Oryctolagus cuniculus: one gene and its partner. The protein of the gene in region 2 interacts with the protein of the main gene of each other region in a biochemical or structural test. Links are inferred from orthologs where the notes say so. Each region holds a gene or a part of one and is shown on either strand. Other genes may lie near its edges.

Region 1 (10,188 bases), on a different chromosome or scaffold from region 2:
TTCTGATCCAGCTCCCTGCTGTGGTCTGGGAAAGCAGTGGAAGATGGCCCAAGGACCATCACCCATGCACCTGTGTGGGAAGACCCGGAAGAAGCTCCTGGCCTTGGATCGGCTCAGCTTTGCCTGTTGTGGCCATTTGGGGAATGAACTGGCAAATAGAAGACTTCTCTCTCTCTCTCTGCCTCTGCCTCTCTATAACTCTGGCTTTCAAGTAAATACATAAAAATCCTAAAAAAATCCTAAAAACAAAACAAAGCAGATGAAACTTAAAAAAAAAGTTTGTTAAATGAGTAAACTAAGACACACATTTGTATTTAACAGTCGAGTTTCCCAGATCAGGAAAAATAACATCTATTCATTTTGCTAAATTAAGAGAGGATGGGGGAGGCCGGCGCCGTGGCTCACTAGGCTAATCCTCTGCCTTGCGGCGCCGGCACACCGGGTTCTAGTCCCGGTCGGGGCACCGGATTCTGTCCCGGTTGCCCCTCTTCCAGGCCAGCTCTCTGCTGTGGCCCGGGAGGGCAGTGGAGGATGGCCCGAGTGCTTGGGCCCTGCACCCCATGGGAGACCAGGATAAGTACCTGGCTCCTGCCATCGGATCAGCGTGGTGCGCCGGCCGCAGCGCCGCAGCACGCCGGCTGTGGCGGCCATTGGAGGGTGAACCAACGGCAAAAGGAAGAAAGGAAGACCTTTCTCTCTGTCTCTCTCTCTCACTGTCCACTCTGCCTGTCAAAAAAAAAAAAAAAAAAAAAAAGAGAGGATGGGGGAGAAGTTCATGCCATTCCAGACTTAGTCACAGTGTTTCTGATATTGGTTAACTAAGTTTTCAACATGTTTTTGGCACTTCAGCTTCCAGGGAAATTTTAGAAAATTTCTAATTTCCTCAGAAACCCAAGTGGAAATATAAGTAGGAAATGTCTCAAGACTTAGCAAAGTACTTTACAGAAGCATAAACAAAGCAAAGAAACTGAAATAAAACAGAAGACACATTTTTTCAAATGTCACATTTAATGTTTTCACCACTGTACTTCAAATCTACATTGTACAAAGTGACCAGAAAGTGTGCCACGGGAACTGACCAACCTCTGAGATTGTACCTTTCACACCAGTGTCTTCTCGGGCTCTTTTGATACTAAACACGTTTCTCATTCAAGTGAATTGAAATGCTTCAGTTGGGTTGATTCTCAGGAGCCTCATAAAAAAAAACAAAGATATTGCACCATCTTTGTTTAGTAATTCAATGTTTGTTTCTTTCACAGCAAATAATTACTTCATTGAAGTTAAAACTTCCAAACATAACTTATTAATAGTCTTCAAATTCAGCTCAGATCACTCAAGATGAAAATACTCTGCTAAATACAGATAACTTACAATAACTTTAACAGTTAATTGTCCATAACACACACCAAGGTTTTTTCCTAGACCAATTTTAAGACGATCCATTAGTACTCCTTGTACAGGTGAAAAACGATCTTCAATTTTCTTGTCTTTTTATTTTTAATATAAAAGTTGGAAGGGACATTCAAGTTTCAAGTCTCCACATTGAACTTAAAAAAAAAAAATAGTCATCATCAGCATGTGGAGGTAAACAAGCCAAGTTGTATAGCTCCAGGAGGTAGAGGCCTTCGATTTGTATTCATATATACATATGCACACAAGAATTCAGTGTTCCAACAGGAAAAAGACTTTGTCAAAAAGTAATAAGTTATTTACTACTGTGACATTTCAAGACTCCCACAGCTTTGCTTAAGGACACAAACACATTTGACATAATCCCCTATGTGCCTTTTTTGTGGCTTTAAAATTTTTTAAAATTTGTTTTTGTCTTTTATTTATTATTTTTCACTGTCCAGTGCAGGAAAAGTCTCACAAAATTTCACAGACCTAAAATGTGCAAGCTAGTTCTCTCTCTATACAGCAATGTTGGGATTCTTTTGAAATTAGCCCAGAAATGAATTATTTACACACATGAAAGATGCATGCTTGGGGTTTTTTATGTAAGAAAGAGCAGAAAAACTTCTAATAAAAATAGATTAAATATATATATATATATTTATACTGGGTAAGGAAAACAAAAGTTTAGTCTCTCCTAGTCACAAACTCATTCTCTCTACCCACAACATTGGATTTTAGACAGCACACATCACCATCACGGCTCTAACGAGAAGCTAATCATAGGGCTTGATCATTCGGTGGCATGCCCCTCCTCCCAACCCTCCCCCCCAGGTGCAGCCACAATCAGCTCCTGTGGCTCCATGATTGGTCGCAGGCAAGGTTTCTAGATTCTTTAGTTTTAGAAAACCCCAAATCTTTAGGAATGGCTCAAATATCAAAAAGTATGACTGTCCTTTGTGTGTTTGTGTGTGTGTGTGTGTGTTTGTGTGTGTGAACAATCTCACTTCATTTTAAAAAGAGAAAAACAAAACAAAACAAAACAAAAACACAAAACCCCAAACTCCCAAATTTGGTTCATTCTCTTTTGTTCTGAGGTGAGCCATAACAGCTGCACTAAATTCATAAAACATGTGCAACTCTGGGTAAAATATTTCTCTTCTAAAAGCACAACCACTTTACAAGATTAAAAGTCTAGTAACATTTCTAAATATTATTCATATCATACAAGTAGTGGTTGTTAATTTAAAACTTCATTAGTAAAATTACAGTACAAGCATGATTAACCTCCAGAATTGCAAATCCCAGACTCCAGTGGAAAGCTACATCACATCTTCAGTAGTACACTATCGTCCACGGTCACTCCCACACCAGAGGAGATGGGGGCATCTCAGACGGCTGAGCAACAGTGGAACTGGAAAAAAGGGACAGATGGTGAAATCAGCTGTAACACTCCAGCAGGCAACAGGGCAACCCCATGCTGCCTGTCTTTTCCTCTCTTCCTTTAAAAAACTTTAAGCCCATTCCTGGATTTTTATTTTTGTCTCTTTAACTTCTTTAATGTTAAATTTGCTGCAAATTGTCCATTTGAGTCCATTACCTATAGTGAGGTGATATGGCACGGTGGCTAAGACGTGGGCCTGAAGACAACATATAATTTAAAGTTGAGCACTGAGCAAGTTCCTTGATCTTTTTATGTTTGGAAAAGGATAATGCTATCTGCCTCACAGGATATTGTGATGAATAGCTGTGATAATATATGTAAAGCATTTTTCCATGGTGCCTATTGCATAATGTTAGTAGTAGCTATTCTAAATAATATCTATTATAAATCAGGAAAATAACCTTAAAGGATGCAAAAATTATCCACTTAAAAGTGGCCTCTCAAAATATGGTGACTTTCAGGGGAGTCCTATTTTGTAGGTGTGTCATAAACAATCTTTTACCAAACAGTAATGGACTAGGAGGTATAATCCTTTAACATTTGTTATCCATAGATCTGTTTTAGTTACTTTATATGATTCTCTCAGGTTGCTAATTAGATTATAAACCTGAGAAGGGGTGGTAGGGGTGGTGGTAACCACTTGAGTTCCCCAGAGCCAAGGATAACAAATGATTTGTACTTGGCTGACTGGGTCTCTGGTTTTAGAGTAAAATAGTAAAACAAAGTAATTTAAAATCACAGAGAAGTTAAAAATAGAAGTTAATTCCTTGCTTCTACAGAAAAAAATACATGGAGGAAATGAAAGTCACTTCATTTCACAATTTTTAAACAAAAATTCTTTACTTTGGTTCAACAAATTCAGACCACTTCAATATCATGTATGAAAAGGAAAGAGAAGACAGGGAGAGGGAGAAAGGCAGGTGGGGAAAAAAGGAGACTATGTGGCTTCTCAGATCCAAATCCACCCTTTGTCCTGTTTGTGACACTGGAGCCAGAAACTGTTCTCGGCTCCCTCTTACCACGGGGCTTAATGTTAGCCTTTGGCAACAGATGGCGCTGGAAGGGCACTGCAAGGCTGAACACACAGCAGGAGGCAGCTTCCCTCTGATTCTGGCGTTCTCTTTTTGTCTTGATGTGCAAGGCCAGGTTTGGTCTACCAAACTGTCTGGCAACTTTCTTTGCGACCTAGCAGGCCTCTGCCCACACCTTCTGGGACATTCCTTCCTTGCCCTCCTGCTGTGCATTCCTGTAGCAGACAGACTCCCTCCAAAGAACTCCCTGGTGGAGGGCATCTTCTTTCCTCCTCATTCACTTGCCCTCAGTCTACAGAAGTAGCTCCTTTCTGCATCTGCTACTTCAGAATCCTCTTTTTATGCCTTTCAGTAGCTAGCCATCTTGTTAATGATTCTTGTAACTTAATTTTCCCCATTCATATTACTGGAGCAGTTTCTGTCTTGACTGCACCCTGATTAATATAGAGACCAAGGGAAGGCAGGACAAAGGGACAAACAGAAGGAAGCTTGCTAGGATGCAAACAGGTTCATAGCTCTGCTATAAGCCTGTTGGCTTCTCCTCTAAATAAGCCAGGTGAGGAGCTCACCTTTAAAAAAGGCATTTTCTTGCTTGCAGTTATTATTACTAGGGTGGGAACAGCAGTGGGAACCAAGATGACCATGTTAATCCCCAGGCAGGTGGTGGCCACACTGTGGCTGCAGCAAGACCCCATGCACATGCTCATCATCAGGCAGCACAATGCGCACCTGGGGAAAAACTGCCACAGCAACCACCGTGGACTGGCATCAACGTGCAAACTGACGCTTCTATTTTAAATATACCTTTGACTATAGCCAAAGCTCATAATGGCTTCTGTCAGAGCTTTTATCTATGTTATCCAATCTACATAAAAACGGGAATATGCTGAGTAACAAAATCACAACATCTTTTAACTTCTAATAAGAATGTCAGAAATACATACATATAGTTACCTAATAAAGCTCTTAAAAGCAGCAGACTGAGGGTTGATGCAGAGAGGCACTCTGTTTCCTTTCTGCTGTTCCAAAATAAACTGGTGGATAATTTCTGTGGAGAAAACAAACATCATTTAATCCATGCTAATTTGCAGGCCTGGGAGCAGTGGATTCTCAGCTAACTTTAGCATCTGAATGGCATTTCCTATTGGTTTAGTTACATCAAAGACACAGGTCAGCTATCAAGCAGAGCACAACTGAACTTTTCTGAAACAAAAATGACAGCTGTTGCTAAATACAGACAAAACCCTAAAGGGTGGCATTACACAGACTGGAACCCCATCAATGTAAAGAGTAAAATAGTCTAGAAATTTCAGACTCCATAGGATTGGTGTAATGGGTGAACTCTTCTAAACTGCTGGTAATTATCACCTTTTTCAAGATCACTTAAAAATTTCAGTTGGTATTTAGGTATATAGTTTTGGGTTGTTTACTTTGGGAGCTACCCTCTCTTCTAAATGCCCTGGAAGAGACACATTTTAAACATTCAGAATTTTGGATGTCATTATACCTACTCCATCCATCTCAACAGATTATCTATCATGCCATGAAATTTTATGAATAAACTATCAGAATTTCCTTTCTCTAGGCATCATTCAAAGAATAATTCCCTCAGTGGGTTTTAATCCTTTTAAAAAAGAAGGCAAGTATTTCAGTTAATGAAATGACAGAATGAATACATATTAAATATATTTTGAGTTACACTCACTACCACTTTGAAAATAAGAACAAAACAGTCATTCTTCTGCCTGACCCTCTCCTCCATGCAACATTAAATCAACATTTGCACAACACACATAGCTTTCCTGACAGATCTGCCTGGACACACAGTTGTTAGTAAGGTAATAAAATAAACATACAGAGGAACTCTGGTCAGCATCCAGCTCTCAGCTCTTCACAGGCACATAACAGAAAATGTTACCAGTCATCTTGCTTGGCCAAAGGCCAAAAAAGACACTCACCTTTAACCTGTCTGACAGAACTGAGGTTCTTCTCAAAAGTGTCATCAAATTTGGGATTGGTGATGGGCTCAAAGTCACTGGTATAAACTCTTCCAGTGGAGGTGGAAAAGCAACATTTACACATACACGTGTGGTATCGTAGTCGCCCTTCATCTAAGTAGGGGTGGGCTAAGGCATCCTTAGCGGATATTCTTTTAGACTGAAATCAAATTTAGAGACCAGCACATCAACACTACAGATAAATATGACTGTCCACACAAGATATTTCACAAGACACAGAAATTGCTTTACATAGTTTACACTTAATTTATAGTATATCATAGGCAAAGAAGGATAACTGAATTTAAAAGTGAACATAGAAATAGAGGGGGCATGTAGCTTAGGATGACAAACTACTGTTAGCATATACCACCATAAAGCACTTACATGTGTATTTCTACTAAAATTGAGTTCCTACCATGCTTATATCATGACCTTTCAGGATAAGATAAAACAAAGCTGTTGGTTATCCACCATGAACCTACAAGGGTAAGCTTGGTGACCTTGTTTTTTTTCCTTTACTGCCATTACCTATTTGTTAGGTTGTGGGTAATATGTTTGGTGACCCAGCCCTTCTAAGCCTGACTCCCTTGCACTAACAGCAAGCAAAGTTTTTTTCCTTTAAAAAGTCCAAGTCTTCCTGGAGAGATAGGAAATCACTGGGATAAAGTTCCCCCATTTAAACCCAAAGAAACAAGTATACTAACAGAGCAGCAGACCTGGTCCTGAACCCCTCTGGTGGTCAGCTCCCCTTTCCTTGGCTTCTTTGGTCACACCTGTGGGACTCAGTTCTCTAGCTTTTCTGTACATTAAATTTGGTCCTTGGCCAAATCTGTGACTGAACATGCTGCCAGCTGCTCACACTATTGGCAATGGTGATTAAATCTGCGCTTTATCATCTGACCATTAAGTCATTTCTATCAGGTGGCAGATGTCAGACACTGGGTCCCAGTCAGCTGGCACCAGCAGCTGGAGTCTGCTTCCTGTGTTAGCTTCTTTTGTCTGCAGATTGGTATTTCCTGAAATTTGAGAATGTAGGGTTGAAAAGATTTTAGTGTTTTCCCTGACTATGGATATTATGCTCTATGTGTTCTATGTGTACCAAAGTGTTTTACCAAAGAGAAACCTTTGAACAAAAAGTAAACCAGATTCCTGGCAGGCAATGATCAACCTCCATGTCTCTAAACAAATTAACACCTCTTTAGGACCTCACAAGGCCAAAGAAAGGAGGCTGTTATTTTACAAAATGTGATATCACTGACAGGAAGGACTCTCTTGCTAAATTGAGAAAGAAATCACAAAATTACTCAGATGGTTAATAATGGTGTTCTAAAAGACCTAATGGCACTTAATTGCATATTATATATCTTAATTACACATTGTGAATATCTTGTTTCTTTAACTGTTCAACATTTGTAATAGATACGGACACCTTTTTCTATCCTGTGCTCTGTTGCTTTATCAGAATTGGCTCCCTTAGTCTTGAATAAAAGTTGATAAAACTTTCCATTTTACAAATATGAAATATTTCTAGGTAAACAAACTGATGTACTTTGTATACTTCTGTAGGGAGTCAATATACCATATTATGAGATTTCTTAACATCAAATCTGTTCCAATTTGCTTTCAGTATATTGAAGACAAAAAATTTCAAAGACTTGAAAATAATACTCTTTGTCAAGGATTAAATATATTGGCATTTTAGAAATTTTTTCTTGCTGAAGTGGTAAACCCAAAGATTTCAAAAAACTTTGACTGTGAGTTAAGACAATAATCTTGGGGACTGGCACTGTGGCGTAGAGAGTAAGGCTGCTGCCTGCAGTGCTGACATCCCAAAAGGGTGCTGGTTCGAGTCCTGGCTGCTCCACTTCTGATACAGCTCTCTACTATGGCCTGGGAAAGTAGTGGAGGATGGCCCAAGTACTTGGTCCCCTGCACCCACCTGGGAGACATGGAAGAAGCTCCTGGCTCTTGGCCTGGGACTGGCTCAGCTCTGGTTGTTGCAGCCATTTGGGGAGTGAACCAGCTGATGGTAGACCTTTCTGTCTCTCCCTCTCTCTCTCTGTGGCTCTGCCTCTCAAATAAATACATTAACTTTTTTTTTTAAAAGATCTATTTATTTATTTGAAAAGCAGATTTAAGGGGCCCGTGCTATGCAGCAGCGGGTTAACGCCCTGGCCTGAAGTGGCAGAATCCCAAGTGGGCGCTGGTTCTAGTCCCAGCTGCTCCATTTCTGATCCAGCTCTCTGCTAGGGCCTGGGAAGGCAGTAGAAGATGGCCCTAGTCCTTGGGACCCTGCCTTCACATGGGAGACCCGGAAGAAATTCCTGGCTCCTGGCTTCGGATTGGCAAAGTTCCGACCATTGCGGCCAATTGGGGAGTGAACCATCAAGATGGAATATCTCTCTCCCTACCTCTCCTCTCTCTGTGTAACTCTGACTTTCAAATAAATTAATAAATCTTAAAAAAAAAAAAAAAAAAGAAAGGCAGATTTACAGAGAGGCAGAGGCAGAGAGAGAAAGGTCTTCCATCTGCTGGTTCACTCCCTAAATTGCTGGAATGGCCAGAGCTGTGCTCATCAGAAGCCAGGAGCTTCTTGAGGGTCTTCCACGTGGGTGCACTAGCCCAAGGACTTGGGCCATCTTCCACTGCTTTCCTAGGCCATAGCAGAGGGCTGGGTTGGAAGTGGAGCAGCCAGGACTCAAACAGGTGCCCATATGAGATGCTGGCACTGTAGGTGGCGGCTTCATCTGCTACGCCACAGCGCAGGGCCAAATACATAAACTTTAAAAAAGAAAAAATTTTCCCTGAGGGGCTGGCATTCTGCCATTGCAAATAAAGCTGCCACCTGTGACATCCCATATGGGCAGTGGTTCATGTCTGGCTACTCCACTTCTGATCCAATGTACTGCTGATGGCCTGGGAAAAGCAGTGGTAGATGACTGATGACTCAAATGCTTGGGCCCCTGCCACCCACTTGGAGTTCCAGTCTCTCCTGGCAGATGCGGCTACTTGGGGAATAAACCAGTAGATAGAGGGCCTCTCATTCTCTCTCTGTCTCTCCCTCTCTCTTGTAACTCCTTTTTCCTGATATGGGATCTCAAACAGCAGCTTAACCTGTGCTACGCAGCCTGCACCTATTTAGCCTTGCTATTTTTTCAAAGATTTATTTACTTACTTGAAAGGCAGAGTTACAGAGAGAAGAGGGAGAGACAGAGAGACAGAAAGACATCTTCCATCCTTTGGTACACTCCCCAGATGGGAACAATGGCTGGGGTTAGGCCACAGGGTGGGTTCGGGGGCCCAAGTACCTGAGCCATCTTCCACTGCTTTGTCAGGCCATTAGCAGGGATCTGCATCAGAAGTGGAGTAGTTGGGACATGAGCCTGCACCCATATGGGATGCCAGCATCACAGGCAGTAGATTTACTCGCTACACCACAACACCAACCCCAATAAATTAATCTTTAAAAAAAAAAAAAAAAGTAAATGTTAACCCTAGGACCTTTATAAAGTCCTCTAGAGGCAGAGAGAAATTACCTCTGAAGCTTAAGTTTCCTATGGCTCTAGTTTTGTTAACCATACAAAAGATGTTACATTTTTTTGTAAACATTTATTTATTTATTTAAAATCCAGAGTTACACAAAGAGAGAAGGAGAGGCAGAGAGAGAGAGAAGTCTTCCATCTGCTGGTTCACTCCCCAGTTGGCCACAATGGCCGAACTGGGCTGATCTAAAGCCAGGAGCCAGTAGATTATTCTGGGTCTTCCACTCGGGTGCAGGGGCCCAAGGACTTGGGCCATCTTCTAGTGCTTTCCCAGGCCATAGTGGAGCAGCTGGGACTGAAACCAGTGCTCATATGGGATGCTGCCACTACAGGTGGTGACTTTACCTGCTATGCCACAGTGCCAGACCCAAGATGTTAGATATTAACATCTTCTATGAGCTATGTCCATAAACTTGCAAAAAAAATATCAAACCAATGATACGTAATCAGAAGTTATGTGACTTTATGTGACTACAGCTGTGCTCATTGGCAGGAACCTGATCACAAGGAGAGACTGTGAAAGCAAGAACTGCCACCATGTCTTGCTTCCAATGTTGCTTAACACTTCATATACCACAAGTAAAAACACAAAAATAAATGTCAAAGTTTTAAAAATCCAGTCTGCACAATGAGATGTCACAAAAATAACTTGGTAACCCTGACTGGTTCTGTGCACCCAAGTAATAAAACTTACTATTTCTTTTTTTTTTTTTTTTTTGATAGGCAGAGTGGACAGTGAGAGAGAGAGAGACAGAGAGAAAGGTCTTCCTTTTTGCCGT
Region 2 (11,802 bases):
TTAAAAAACACTAACTTACCGGGAGATAATTGGCAATAACTTTCCAGTCATCTGTTCCATTCTGTTCCACCAGCTTCTTTAGTTTTTCATCCTAAGACATTTAAAGGTAATCCTAGGATATCAATCATTTACTGTATAACTCTGTTCAACTTACAGTAAACAAAGGAACCGATCCAATAGTGCACGCCAGGAAAAAAAAAAAACTCTCTCGACTGTGTCCAAATACAGCAGATAAAAATGTAATAGAGTGACTGAGAGCACTGATTTATTTAGAATCAGACCAAGTTTGCATCTCAACTCAGGTGCTGATTAGTTGTCTGAGCTTGGGTTGGTCGTTGTACCTTTCTGCAATGTGGTATTGTCATCTGTAAAATGGGAATGCTGATATCAAGAGGGAATTACATGACATAATTACTGAAAATAGCATGATGCCGACACATATTGAGTGTTTGATATATATATATATATATATATATATATATATAGGCTCAACCTCTTTCAAATAACAAAATGGAAGCTCCCTTTTCTTAGTTAAACCTGAAGGCACATTCAATGTATGAAAATATTTCAGTTTTGTGTCAAATGAGACCCAACATATGAGAACACAGAAGACGCTAACACGTGTGGGCAATTGGTTCAGCTCACAGACTGTTGGCAGTGCTACCAGCTCACACGTGTCTAAGTGTCTTCCTTCTAAAGTTTCTGCAAAGATAACATTCACACGCAACGGAAGCCTCGGGACAACACAGACGCAGGAATTAGGAAACCAGGATTAACAGCAGAACTTCTAGATCTCTAGGGACCATCCAAGTGCACATGGCGAGGTGAAATGTGCAGTTCCTGTAAGACTCCCAGGGAACCCTGACTCGTGTCAGGAGGGGCTCTGGTTTCAATGAAGTACAGTGCAATGGATCTGAAGAAGAGTTAATACCATTTATTCTAACAAGAAATCCTCTAAAATTAGTTGCAAATTCACTGACAGCATTAAAGAAGAAGAAACCCCTCCTCAAGCATTACTAATTGGGATCAGATCGAAAGATGAAGCTTTTGGTGAGCTTGTTGCGAAAGAAGAGTGGGAAGCAAATACATGTGCATTCATTACTGGACGCTCTGTGAAATACATGAAGGATATTAAATGAGCATATTATACCGAGACGATTTTTCAATGTTTCGTTTTCTTCGTTTGTTTGCTGAGTTTTGGGAAATAACAATTCATTCAGGGAACATGTATTGGCATTCTACTTTGTGTCAAGCCATTGTGAACATAAAGAGGAAGAGACACTTAGCGCTGCCCTCAAGAGCCTTGCAGTCTCCTAAGAGAGGCAGATGGGTCACAGCAACAGTAAGGCAGACAGGGAGCCAACAGCATGGGACCGCAGGCTGAGACATCTGAGGAAGCCACGGCTGGCTTCACGGAAGAGGCCCTGCGTTCATGGGTCCCGAAGAAGCAGTAAGACCTGGAGGGGCTAAAGGTTGAGACATTGGCAGGTGGACAGAAGCGCAGAGGAAGCAGAAAGTGGCAAGAAGAGGACATTCAAAGAACTAGAAAGAGCTTGGGAATGGACGTGTGGCAGAGTGGTGAGGGCTGCCTGCTGCACGGGCCGGCTGGGACAGGATCTCAGAGAGCTTGCTAAGGAGTTTGGACACCTGTGACTTGGCTGAAATCTTGTGTTTCCTAAATGACACACGCTGCGTCCGCCTCATGTTCTGATAAAGTGATTCGTTACCTCTTCCCTGGTCCACCTAGTTTTCCCCAAGTGACGCTTTCCGGATTTGGGAAGCAGCCCGTCATAGTCGTGGTCACACATCTCAATATCGTCGTCATCCTCGTCGCTACTGTAAATGCTGCGGAAATAAGAAGGGGGCAGACGAGGGCTGAAACCAGAGGGTTTGAACTACTGGATTTCAAAATGTGCACAACGGCTCCTCAGTCATCTTTCCAATGGTTATGGAGATGAAACTCTGAAAACTCGCACCACAAGACTGCATTCTGCAATCTGTTGCTCTGGTATTGGAAACTGGCTCTGCTGTTGTTGGTATCCACAGATACGGTGAAGGATCTGGCACTTGCCTATTCCTCTGCATGTTTCAACCTGCTGTTACTGCTAGACCAGCGACAAGTGACACATCTGGCCACCTTCCAACCAATGAAGGCTTCCGTTTAAATCTTAATGTTCAGGGCAAGAAAAGGAACAAGAGCCCATGTCCTTTCTATAGCACACACTCGAAATCTCAGGCATATGTCACATCATTTAAACGGTATTTCTCAAACACAATAAACAACTCAATTAGGTTACTCCAACAGGGCTGGCATTCTACTAAACAAACAAAAAAAAGTTTTGAGAAGTAATATATCCACTAACATAATTACAGTCATTTCTTAAAGATGAGAAGATTAGGAGAATCTAAGAGAAAAGGGATTTTAATCCCAAGGAAGGGTAGACCGACCGACAAGGGAGTGAACGGTAAATGACATCAATATCCAATTCTTAAAGCTCTGGGCCAGGCTGACCCAGGCTCTGGTCTTGTTTACAATACCCCATCTCCAGAGTAACTAAGTGAATGATGAAGTCATCTGATAGTCTGAATCTCACACCTGTGCTTTTTTCTGTCTCTGATGGAACGGTGTTTGAAATATCTTACAATGTGCCTTACCCAAAACTAAGGGATTCACGCAGAAGAAGTCGATGAGTTTAAAAAGAACCCATTACCATTTTCAAAAGAGCTTTTCCTTTACCTAGTTGACTAAAATCAAGACTTTTGATGACTTTTGAAGCAACCCTACACTCAATGTTTATTAATCGTATACTAACTAGATGGGAGTAACTTGATGGTTTAGCTTTAGCTATAATTTTTCTAATAAAACTTAGGATAGGAAAAATTATACTAATCTTAGAAAATTTATCATTGTAATATTGAGAAATCCACTGAAATGGGACCAATAAAAACGATGATCTAAAGTAACATCATAATGTGGTTTATTATTTTTTAGAAGGAGGTTTATATTTGTTTCAGGTTTTATCTTCCCAAACTACTCATGAGTGCATACTGCCAATGTCCCACAGGTCAAGCAAAAATACTCACCCAAAACCCTGGCTTAGGGGTTCAAATAGTTTCTAACTAGAATTTAGGACAACATCAGGTGGCTCAGGTTGCACTGTGAAACAAATTTAAGTACTTAGTACTTAAATTAGTACTTAGTCAAATTTAAGTACCAAAAAACTAAACCAGCCAAGCAACAAACACATCGTATACTGAACTATATTTATAATCTGAAATAATTTCTTTTATATAGGGGTGATCTTTTGAAAGAAGAGCCTACTGCGGTTTCGCACGTTGAACACGAGGTACTGAACAACTTCTGACCAATAATAATTACACGTTTTTCTTTCATGTAAACACAGTGACCCCTCCCCCAATTGCGATAAGCTGGGAGCTTTAAGTCAGTTTTGAAAGGTCCCTAGCAACTCCGTTTTATGCACCCCCAAATGCAGTAGCTATCCCCTTGTCAAATACCAGGAACACCAGGAGAACCACAGCAATCTGTAAGTGGAGCCAGAGATTCAAGCCAAAGTCACTTTTTAGGTTTGGCTGGATCTGAAAATCCTATTTGCAGAACTGAGCTCAGCGACCCGGGCACAAGCAACACCTGCGGCCGCCCACAGGGGGCAGCCAAGGACAGGTGAGGGCAAACAGCCTTGGGCCAGGACCCGGTTCCGGAGGCCGGCCGGCGCTAGCTCTGCCTCCACCTTGCAGCGTGGCTTGGACAAATCACTTCCTCTCTCTCGGGGCCTGTGTTCCTCGCCTGTGCACAAGGGCTTGGATCCTATTTCTAAGGTACTTTCCAGCGCTCAGAAATGATGCTTCCACGTCTTCCGGGACTCTTGCAGACCGCGCACCGAGGCAGAGATGTGCAAACCCGAGGTCGCGCGGAGGTCGTGGGCTGTGACTTCGGCGGGGCCTGAGGGGGCCCCGAGGGCAGCAGGGAGAGTCCGGGCTGCCCAGGCCGTCGTCGGCTCGGGGGTCCCGCATCAGCCGGCTGGGCGCGGACGCTCCCGCCTTGGAGCTCTCTCTGCAGGCGACTTCCTAGCTCGCAGGGTTCTCTGTCGCCTCGGTAGCATGATTAATTTCTCCTCAGGGCCTGAAATAACTTTTCCTTTATCTGCACTGGCGAGGTCTCGGAGCCAACAGTCAGAGGACGTTCAAAGGCTTACAGGAGGCTCCGTGCACCCGACTCCCCCCACCTGCTAGACCCGGTGTGGTTACCGGAGTACAACTATGAATACTGCGTTCTGTCAAGGAAACAAACCGTGCAAAGAAACGAAAAAGAAAAGAGGTGTCGGGGGGTGGCTGGGAAGAGGGAGGGTACGGGAGGAAGTGCCTTGTGGCCGCCACTGTGATTCTAGAATAGGGGCTAAGACTCATTTCGCTGACCTGGTTAATAATCCCGGCCGAGTCGACGCTCGCCATGCAAGAAACGGCTCCGAGCCCGCAGCCGGGTTTCTCTTCCCCCTGAGGCAGGTTCAAGGTTCCCGCCCCTCCCGGCCGCCTCCCCTCCGGGCTACCTGGGAGCGGCCGGGAACCTGCGCGGCCCCGCCCCGCGGGGGGCAGCAGGGACCTCGGGGCGCGGAGCCTCGGCCGCGCCTCCTCCAGGCTCCCCTGCCCGGCGCCCGGCGCCCTCCTCCTCCTAATGCCCGTTCTGCTCTCGGAAAGCAGGTGGCCCGAGGTGCTCTCCGGCTAAGTCCCAAAGGCGAAAGGTGAAACCCAGTCCCCCGAGGTCCTCTTCAGCCCATCCCCCACCCCGAGTCGCCCATTTCGCCCCCGGGCGCCCGGCAGCGCCCGGGCGCTGCTCCCCGCCAGCGTGGCCCGGGCGCTCCTGCAGGGCCCACGCCCACGCTCTCTGCAACTTCCCAGCGCCGCGCGAGCAGCCAAAAGCAGTAAGAGACAGCAAAGCAGAGCACCCAAGGAAGAGCGGGTGGGTCTTGCCTTGCCTCCCCGGACTTCTGTCCAGCGCCAGGGGCCGTCGGGCCGCAGCGCCTCGGCACAGGCGACCTCAGGCGCCGGCCGCCGAGCGACGGCGTCCACGTGTGCGCGCCGCGCTGGGACCCGTGGCCCCCGGGAAGCGCCGGCGGGGAACGCGTCGGTTGCGCGGCAGCGGCCATGGGTGCTGTCGGTCTCGTGGCGACCACGACGGCCCCGGCTTAAGCCCCGGCAGCGGTGGCTCACAGGGAGCCCCGGCGTGTCCAGCCCGGGGAGGTGCCGCGGCCGGTGGCAGCTGAGGCCAGCAAATGACAGTTCGGACGAATATGTCCCTCCTCGGCCAAAGCGCCCTGGGCTTTCGCCTGCCCAGCGCGGGGGACATGTGCGGAGCGGGCGCGTGGGTGCACTGGCAGAGTTTGCAACAGAAATAAACGCTTCCCTAGGAATAACGCCTCGAGCCTTCCAACCTGTGCTTCAACAGTTTGCAAGCGAGGAGCCCCCCGTGCTAGCCTGAAATCTTCCTTCCAGCCGCTCGTCAGCTGACACTCGCCCCGGCCTCCATAAAGAATGAATGAAATTGAAATAAACTACCTGCAGCTATAAACGATCCAGCATTTCCCGTGTCTGCCATATGTTCTGCGCTTCCAAGCCCCAAACGCATCTCCATGCATCCAGCAATTAGGCTGCGCCCCCTCGCCGGCACCCGCTGGGCTCCCCGGGGCCGGGGGGCACCGCTCTGCACCCGGCTGGAACCTGCTCCTTTACCACCCTGCTTCCCCCCGAAAGAGAAACGTATCCCCGTGCAGCGTGCACACGGAGCCGCTGGGCGTGCTTCCTTCCCGAAGTCCCAGTACAGTTCCCGCAGAGACTCTGCATTCGTCAGTCTGTCCAGGGGCTCCCGCGGCCGAGCCAGGCGCTCCAGGTCTGCCCGGGATCTGACAGCCCCGCACAGGATCCCAGAACCCATTCCCACCTGCTCTGGGGCGCCGGGCGCCCCGCGGGTCCCCGCCCTCCGTCGCCCGCCGAGGCTCCCCGTTACCTGTGCCGGGGTCTCCGGGCCATGGCGCGGCGGGAGCGGGGCTCCGCCGAGAGCAGCGGGGACCGCACGGGGCTGTCGCCTCCCGCTGCCCGCCGCCTGCCTGCGTCCCTCCCCGGCTGCGCAGCGACGCTGGGCACCGCCGGGGCGAAGTTTCTTAGGAGAAAGAGGAGGAGGAGGAGGAGGAGGTGGAGGCGGCGGAGGAGGAGAAGGAGGAGGAGGAAACAGGTTGATATTAAAGTGTAAACTCTGTAAACAGAGATGCCATCAAACAAAGAGCTTTGGACACTCCCCCTCCCGCCAAATCTGGCGCCCCTGCAGTGCGCACGCGCCCTGCCCGCCGCCTCCGCGGTCGCCCTGGCTGCAGCCCGCGGGGCCGAGGGGCCCGCCGGGCCGCCGCTCCCATTCGCCGCTCGCGCCGCCGCGCTGTGCCTGGCGCGCGGTGAGGCCCGGGCGGCGCGCGGGCGGAGAGCCCGGGGCCGGGGAGGGGCGCCCGGGGCCGCGGCCGAGGCGCCTTTTCCTGCGCAAACCCCGCTCCCGGGCCGTGGCGGCGCTGGCCCGCGCCAAGTCCCGCGGAAGCCGCCTCCTTTCCTCCTCGGTAGCCGCACCGCGGTCGCCCCCCGGGCGTGCTCCCGGGCACCTGAAGCCTGGGTGGCAAGGGGTCGCGGGTGGGGGCAACTCCCGCATTTGATTGGGATTGGCTTTCAGGTAGGGTTTACAACTCGGTTCTCTAGAGGGGGAAGACTTGGAGGCAAGGCAACCTGTGTTTACTTGAGGGAGTTTGGCCAGGTCCCTTTTAATACAGAACACATCTCATTAAACTTGTGACAGGGAACACTTAGCGGGGTTATCACCGTGCACCCATGGAGCATCCCCCCAGCCGAGCTCTCCCTCCGCTCCAGCATCCCGCAGCCCAAACGCTACCGTCCCTGGTCAGGAGCCCCCAGCTCCCAAGCCCCGGCTCGTGCCAGGCCCCACCCACCCGGGCGCCCACCGCACACCTGCGCCCCAGCGCCGTACGCGCCCTGGGGTACGCACCTGCGAAGGAATGCACGGGGTCCCCAACAGCCCGCCCGCGGCAGCGCTCTGGAAACCCCGCGTTTGCATGCGTGGCTTTAAAAGCACACGGTTTGTGAGTACAGAGGTCGGGGTCCGTGCTAGGGGTGGTGGGAGAACTCTGTTTTATCAGCTGCAAGTCAGCAGAGACTTTGGTGTTCGGTTAGCTGGGGGATTGCTGGAGAAGTCGAAGGAGCAGAGAAGTGCCGAATTTATAAGGATTGGTGATTGGGGGATTTTAGGGGAGTTTTAGTTTTACTTCCGCTTATAGATTAGTACCATTGGGGTTTTTTTTTTTTTTTCATTCTCTGTACACACTAATTTATTTTTCCTTTAATCTTTCAGGAGTTTGAGACTTCTGCTGACGGGGTTTGTGGGTGTCCCATGTGCCCCACCGTTCAAACTTAGCTCAGAAAGCAGGTTTCTTACCAAAAAAAAAAAAAAAAGCATGTTCTTACTAAAATGAGTCATAATTTTATTAAATGGTGAAGCATGCTAGGTTTCAAGACTTTATCTAGTGTTTTAAACTTTGTTTCTTAAAAATTGTTATGTAGTTGAAATCCTTATCAAACATAGGCTAGTTTCTAGTAAGGTTTTAACATTCCTTTCTTCGTGAGAAAAAAAAAAAAAAAACAAACAACCCAAAACACTGAGACCAGTGCTGAGAGATAGTTCAGGTCACAACTCCCAAAGACATGTCACTTTCAAGTTAATGTATTTTTAAAGCCAATATTTATTTCTAGATCCTATAATAAAGTTTCCTTCTCCACATAAAAAATAAACAACATTTAAAAAAATATCTAGAACAAACATCTAGAAACTACCCCTGGAGGAACTGTATTCTGGCTTTGGGATGTCTTCTTGATTCTATCTGGCAAGAGCCCCAGTTGCTGGGCGTCCTGTACACAGTGCGACTATCCAAACCCTTTCTGTTGAGAGTTCACAGCCTCTTTCCCAAGATTCTCTGGCAGGGGACCTGCTCTAAGATGCTGAAACTCTTGTTATGTAGAAAGACACTGAATTCCATTTTCCTTCATTCCTCTTGAGCATTGTTCTTCTATGCCTTGTTTTGAGAGTTTCTAATGGTTGCATTTTCATTCCCCAGATAGTAAGGGAGCATAGCTTTACGTTTTTCCCTTGGTTGTGTGGCGATCATGTGCTTGGAACATGCGTACTCCAATAAAGAATATATATGCAGACATTTAATTATGCTACTTTGTGACATACTGCCATCTGTTAAGTTTATGGAAGTTATGAGAATTCACCTCTGCCTCCACTTCATTTACAGTTTAGATGCCAATTTTGCATATTTTATCATTTTATTTTTTAAAAGATCTGCTGCATCAGTTACCTAAACTGGGGCAGGGCTGGGATGGAGCTAAATTCCAATAAAGGTTTGTGTTTGTGATGCACTGGACAACAGTCAGCGAGCTGCTCTGTGCAGGGCTGGGTAGTAAATGTTTCGGGCTTTGTGGGTTGTTCCATATCTCTCTTTCTCCCTCTCATTCTTTCTTTTCCTTTCTTCCAATAACCTTTTAAAAATGTAAACACTATTTTTAAGTTGATAGCTGTATAGAACTTGCAAGCTTTAGCTGGCCAACACTAGAACAGTAATCCTTGATCTTCATTGTATATCAGAATCCCTGGGTGTAGCCATGAAAAAGCGTAGACCCAGGCTGTCCCCATAGACTAATTCAGTAGGTGGGGCCCAAAAATCTTTTTCAAATTTTCAAATTTCTCTCTCTCTCTCTCCCTCTCTCTCTTTCCCTCTCTCTTTGAAAGAGAATCACAGAGAAAGGTCTTCCACTTGCTGACTCATTCTCCACATGCCGACAACAGCCAGGGCTGGGCCAGGCCAAAGCCAGGAGCCTGGAACTGAATCTGAGCCTCCCAAGTGGGTGGTAGGAACCCAAGCATTTGAGCCATTACTTGCAGGTACCCGGGCTGTGCATTAGCGAGAGGTGGCCTGGAAATGGAGAAGCTGGAGCCAGGCATTCCTGTTAGGGATGAGGGCATCCCAAGTGCCATGTTAACCACCGTGCCAAATGCTTGCTCCAAATCTGAATTCTAAACAAGTACCCATATGGTTTTCATGGAAGAGATCCCTAGACCACTTGTTAATAACCCCAGTGTTAGGGTTGGTAGCTGAGTGCTGGGTGCCTTCCATCACCTTCTCCTACCTCAATCTTTTTCACCTCTCCTGGGTGAAGGATTTGGGCTCTCCCTAACCCCAAATCCTTTTCCTCCATGAGGGAGATGCTGCCGGTGCCCAGAGGGCTGTGGTAACCTATTGTCTTTATTTTTTTCTGCAAAACATCAGCTTCATAACTGAAACTTGAAAGAAAAGGAATCACTTGGTGCTTTGTGAATCATCATTATGACTCTCCCCCTCCAGAAAACCAGCACTTGAAGCATTTTATGTGATTCTGAAGATTGTGGAAGGCTTAAGGGAGAAAGACATACAAAAGACACAAATTCAGCTTGTTTGTGACTGCAGTGAAATCTTGGGCCTGTGGAGGATCCTTAATATCTGTGATCCTCATCCTGAAAGTGAATGAGAATTATCAATGGTGACCACAGAGCAGGGGTCAAGGGCTCCATGTCTCTACCACCTGCCTTTCCCTCAGCCCTTCAACCCTGTTGGCTCAGGGCATTAAGAGGAAGGTAATTACAGCAAGCACCAAATGGTTAAAGGATCCATAATTCCTGATCATTTCAGTTCATGAAGAATGGCTGTAGCGTGTGTGGTTGAAAGCCGTAGGTTTGAGAGTAACCTCATGGTGACTTCTGGCAAAGCTCTTAGTTACAGCAATGGGGTGTTACTTTAATGGAATATGTTTCATAGAGCACCCAGAAGAGAGGGTGAGCAAATGCATTTTTAGCTTTAGATGTTTCAGTGATTTGGCACTTCCTGCTTGTTTTCACTCTGCAGATTCTCATCATGTATATATTCCCATGATAAGCAGGTGGAAGGACTCAAGTCCTTGAGCCTCACTTGCTGCCTCCCAGCATGTGCATTAGCAGGAAAGTGGATTGGAAGCGGAGGAGCTGGACCCAGGCACTCTGATCAGAGTTGAAGCTGGGATTATTTTCATTGTCATGTGAGTACAGGGGAGGCGTCCATGACAAGGGAAGGATATTTCGGAGGAAGGGGAAAGTGTGAGCAAAAGCACACAGTCAGGAACCGCAAGGTGTATTCCAAGCACAGGGAACACGGAGCTGTCCAGATGGCCTGGAGCAGAGAGCTGTGAAGGCCTGATGAATGTGTGTGTAGCATGGAAGGGCTATACTGGCAGAGGCGTGCTCCATAGATTGGAGTGAAAAGAGGCCGAAGGGGAGGGCCAGTTAGCTGGTCTAGACTATGGCAGCAACCCTAAGTGGAATGAAAAGGAGAGGGCTGCTCAGAGCAACTGATCGGATGGATATTGGAGGCACCATTAATAGAAATAGGGAAGTCAGGAGAGGAAGAGAAGTGTGCAGGAGCAGATTCAAAGAGGAAAGTGCATGTAGATTTCAGTGTGTTAGGCTTGTGGTTTCTTATGGAAGAGCTCTGGGTTGAGTTCTTCAGCAGATGGTAGACGGCGTTGAGAACAGAGCTTGCCCGGGAGGCTGATCCAGGACAGCATTGTGCATAGCAAATGCTTGTGAGCTGGTTGTTACATGTGGCCATTATTAAACACCAAGTGTATAACCATGCGGCTCAATAAGTTCTCTTAAAAAAGACATTCAAACCTCATCACTTCCTTTTATATATATATATATACATATATATTTTTTTCCTATTATCTGTGCACTTGAGGTTGTGTGTCTACTACATCTGTGTGGTGGAAGTGCCATATAGTATGAGCTATTGGGCCTTGCCTTCCAATTTCGCATCAGTCAAGCAGTGACAGTAGCTTGAAATTGCCTATTCTTGGAGCATTTACACCACAAAAGTGGCAAATGCTACAAACAGGGGTTGTTTCCCCATGGGAGACCTATTGTTAAACATTTAGCTGTAACACATTCAGTAAATACTGTATGGGTCTGGGCATTGTGGCACAATGGGTTAAACCACGCCTTGGGACACCCACATTCCATGGGTTTTGGTCTTGCCTCCACTTCTGACCCAGTTTCCTGCTAATGCACCTGAAAGGCAGCAGATGGTGGCCCAAGTGCACCCACCAGGGAGGTCAGTATGGAGCACCCGGCTCCTGACTTAGGCCTAGCACAGCCTCTGCATTTGGAGAGTGAATGAGCAATGGAAGATCTCTCTCTGTCTCTCCCTCTCCCTCTCACACACACTCTCTCTCCCTTTCTCTCTCTCTCTTCCTCCCTCCCTCTCTATTACTCTGCCTTTCAAACAAATAAATCAATTTTTTTTTTAAAAAATAAGTGCTATATATAGGTTTTATTTGTATAAAAGTGATAATTGTACTGTATCATAGAATTGCTAATATACTTTTTTTTTATTATTTATTTGACAGAGTTATAGGCAGTGAGAGAGAAAGGTCTTCTTTCACTCCCCAAATGGCTGCCTCGGCCGGCGCTGCGCCAATCCGAAGCCAGAAGCCAGGTGCTTCTCCTGGTCTCCCATGCGGGTGCAGGGGCCCAAACACTTGGACCATCCTCCACTGCCCTCATGGGCCTCAGCAGAGAGCTGGGCCAGAAGAAGAGCAACCGGGACTAGAACCCCGTGCCCATATGGGATGCCAGCGCCGCAGGCGGAGGATTAACCAAGTGAGCCACGG

The links.
Region 1: of the proteins of MYB (region 2) and NLK, one has a biochemical effect on the other in vitro, tested with the Homo sapiens proteins (2 studies listed by BioGRID, with this or other methods). The link is inferred for Oryctolagus cuniculus from reciprocal best matches to the Homo sapiens genes MYB and NLK.

What each region holds. Positions count from the first base shown.
Region 1 is NC_091448.1:43,848,507-43,858,694, reverse strand, and holds the end of NLK (serine/threonine-protein kinase NLK), read right to left. Parts: intron 6,025-10,188; coding exon 5,826-6,024; intron 4,916-5,825; coding exon 4,822-4,915; intron 2,807-4,821; coding exon 2,752-2,806; 3' UTR 1,815-2,751; downstream 1-1,814. UniProt on the Homo sapiens protein: Serine/threonine-protein kinase that regulates a number of transcription factors with key roles in cell fate determination. Positive effector of the non-canonical Wnt signaling pathway, acting downstream of WNT5A, MAP3K7/TAK1 and HIPK2.
Region 2 is NC_091436.1:33,732,786-33,744,587, forward strand, and holds the start of MYB (transcriptional activator Myb), read right to left. Parts: upstream 6,179-11,802; 5' UTR 6,043-6,178; coding exon 6,020-6,042; intron 4,560-6,019; exon of another isoform or gene 4,435-4,559; intron 1,846-4,434; coding exon 1,728-1,845; intron 92-1,727; coding exon 20-91; intron 1-19. UniProt on the Homo sapiens protein: Transcriptional activator; DNA-binding protein that specifically recognize the sequence 5'-YAAC[GT]G-3'. Plays an important role in the control of proliferation and differentiation of hematopoietic progenitor cells.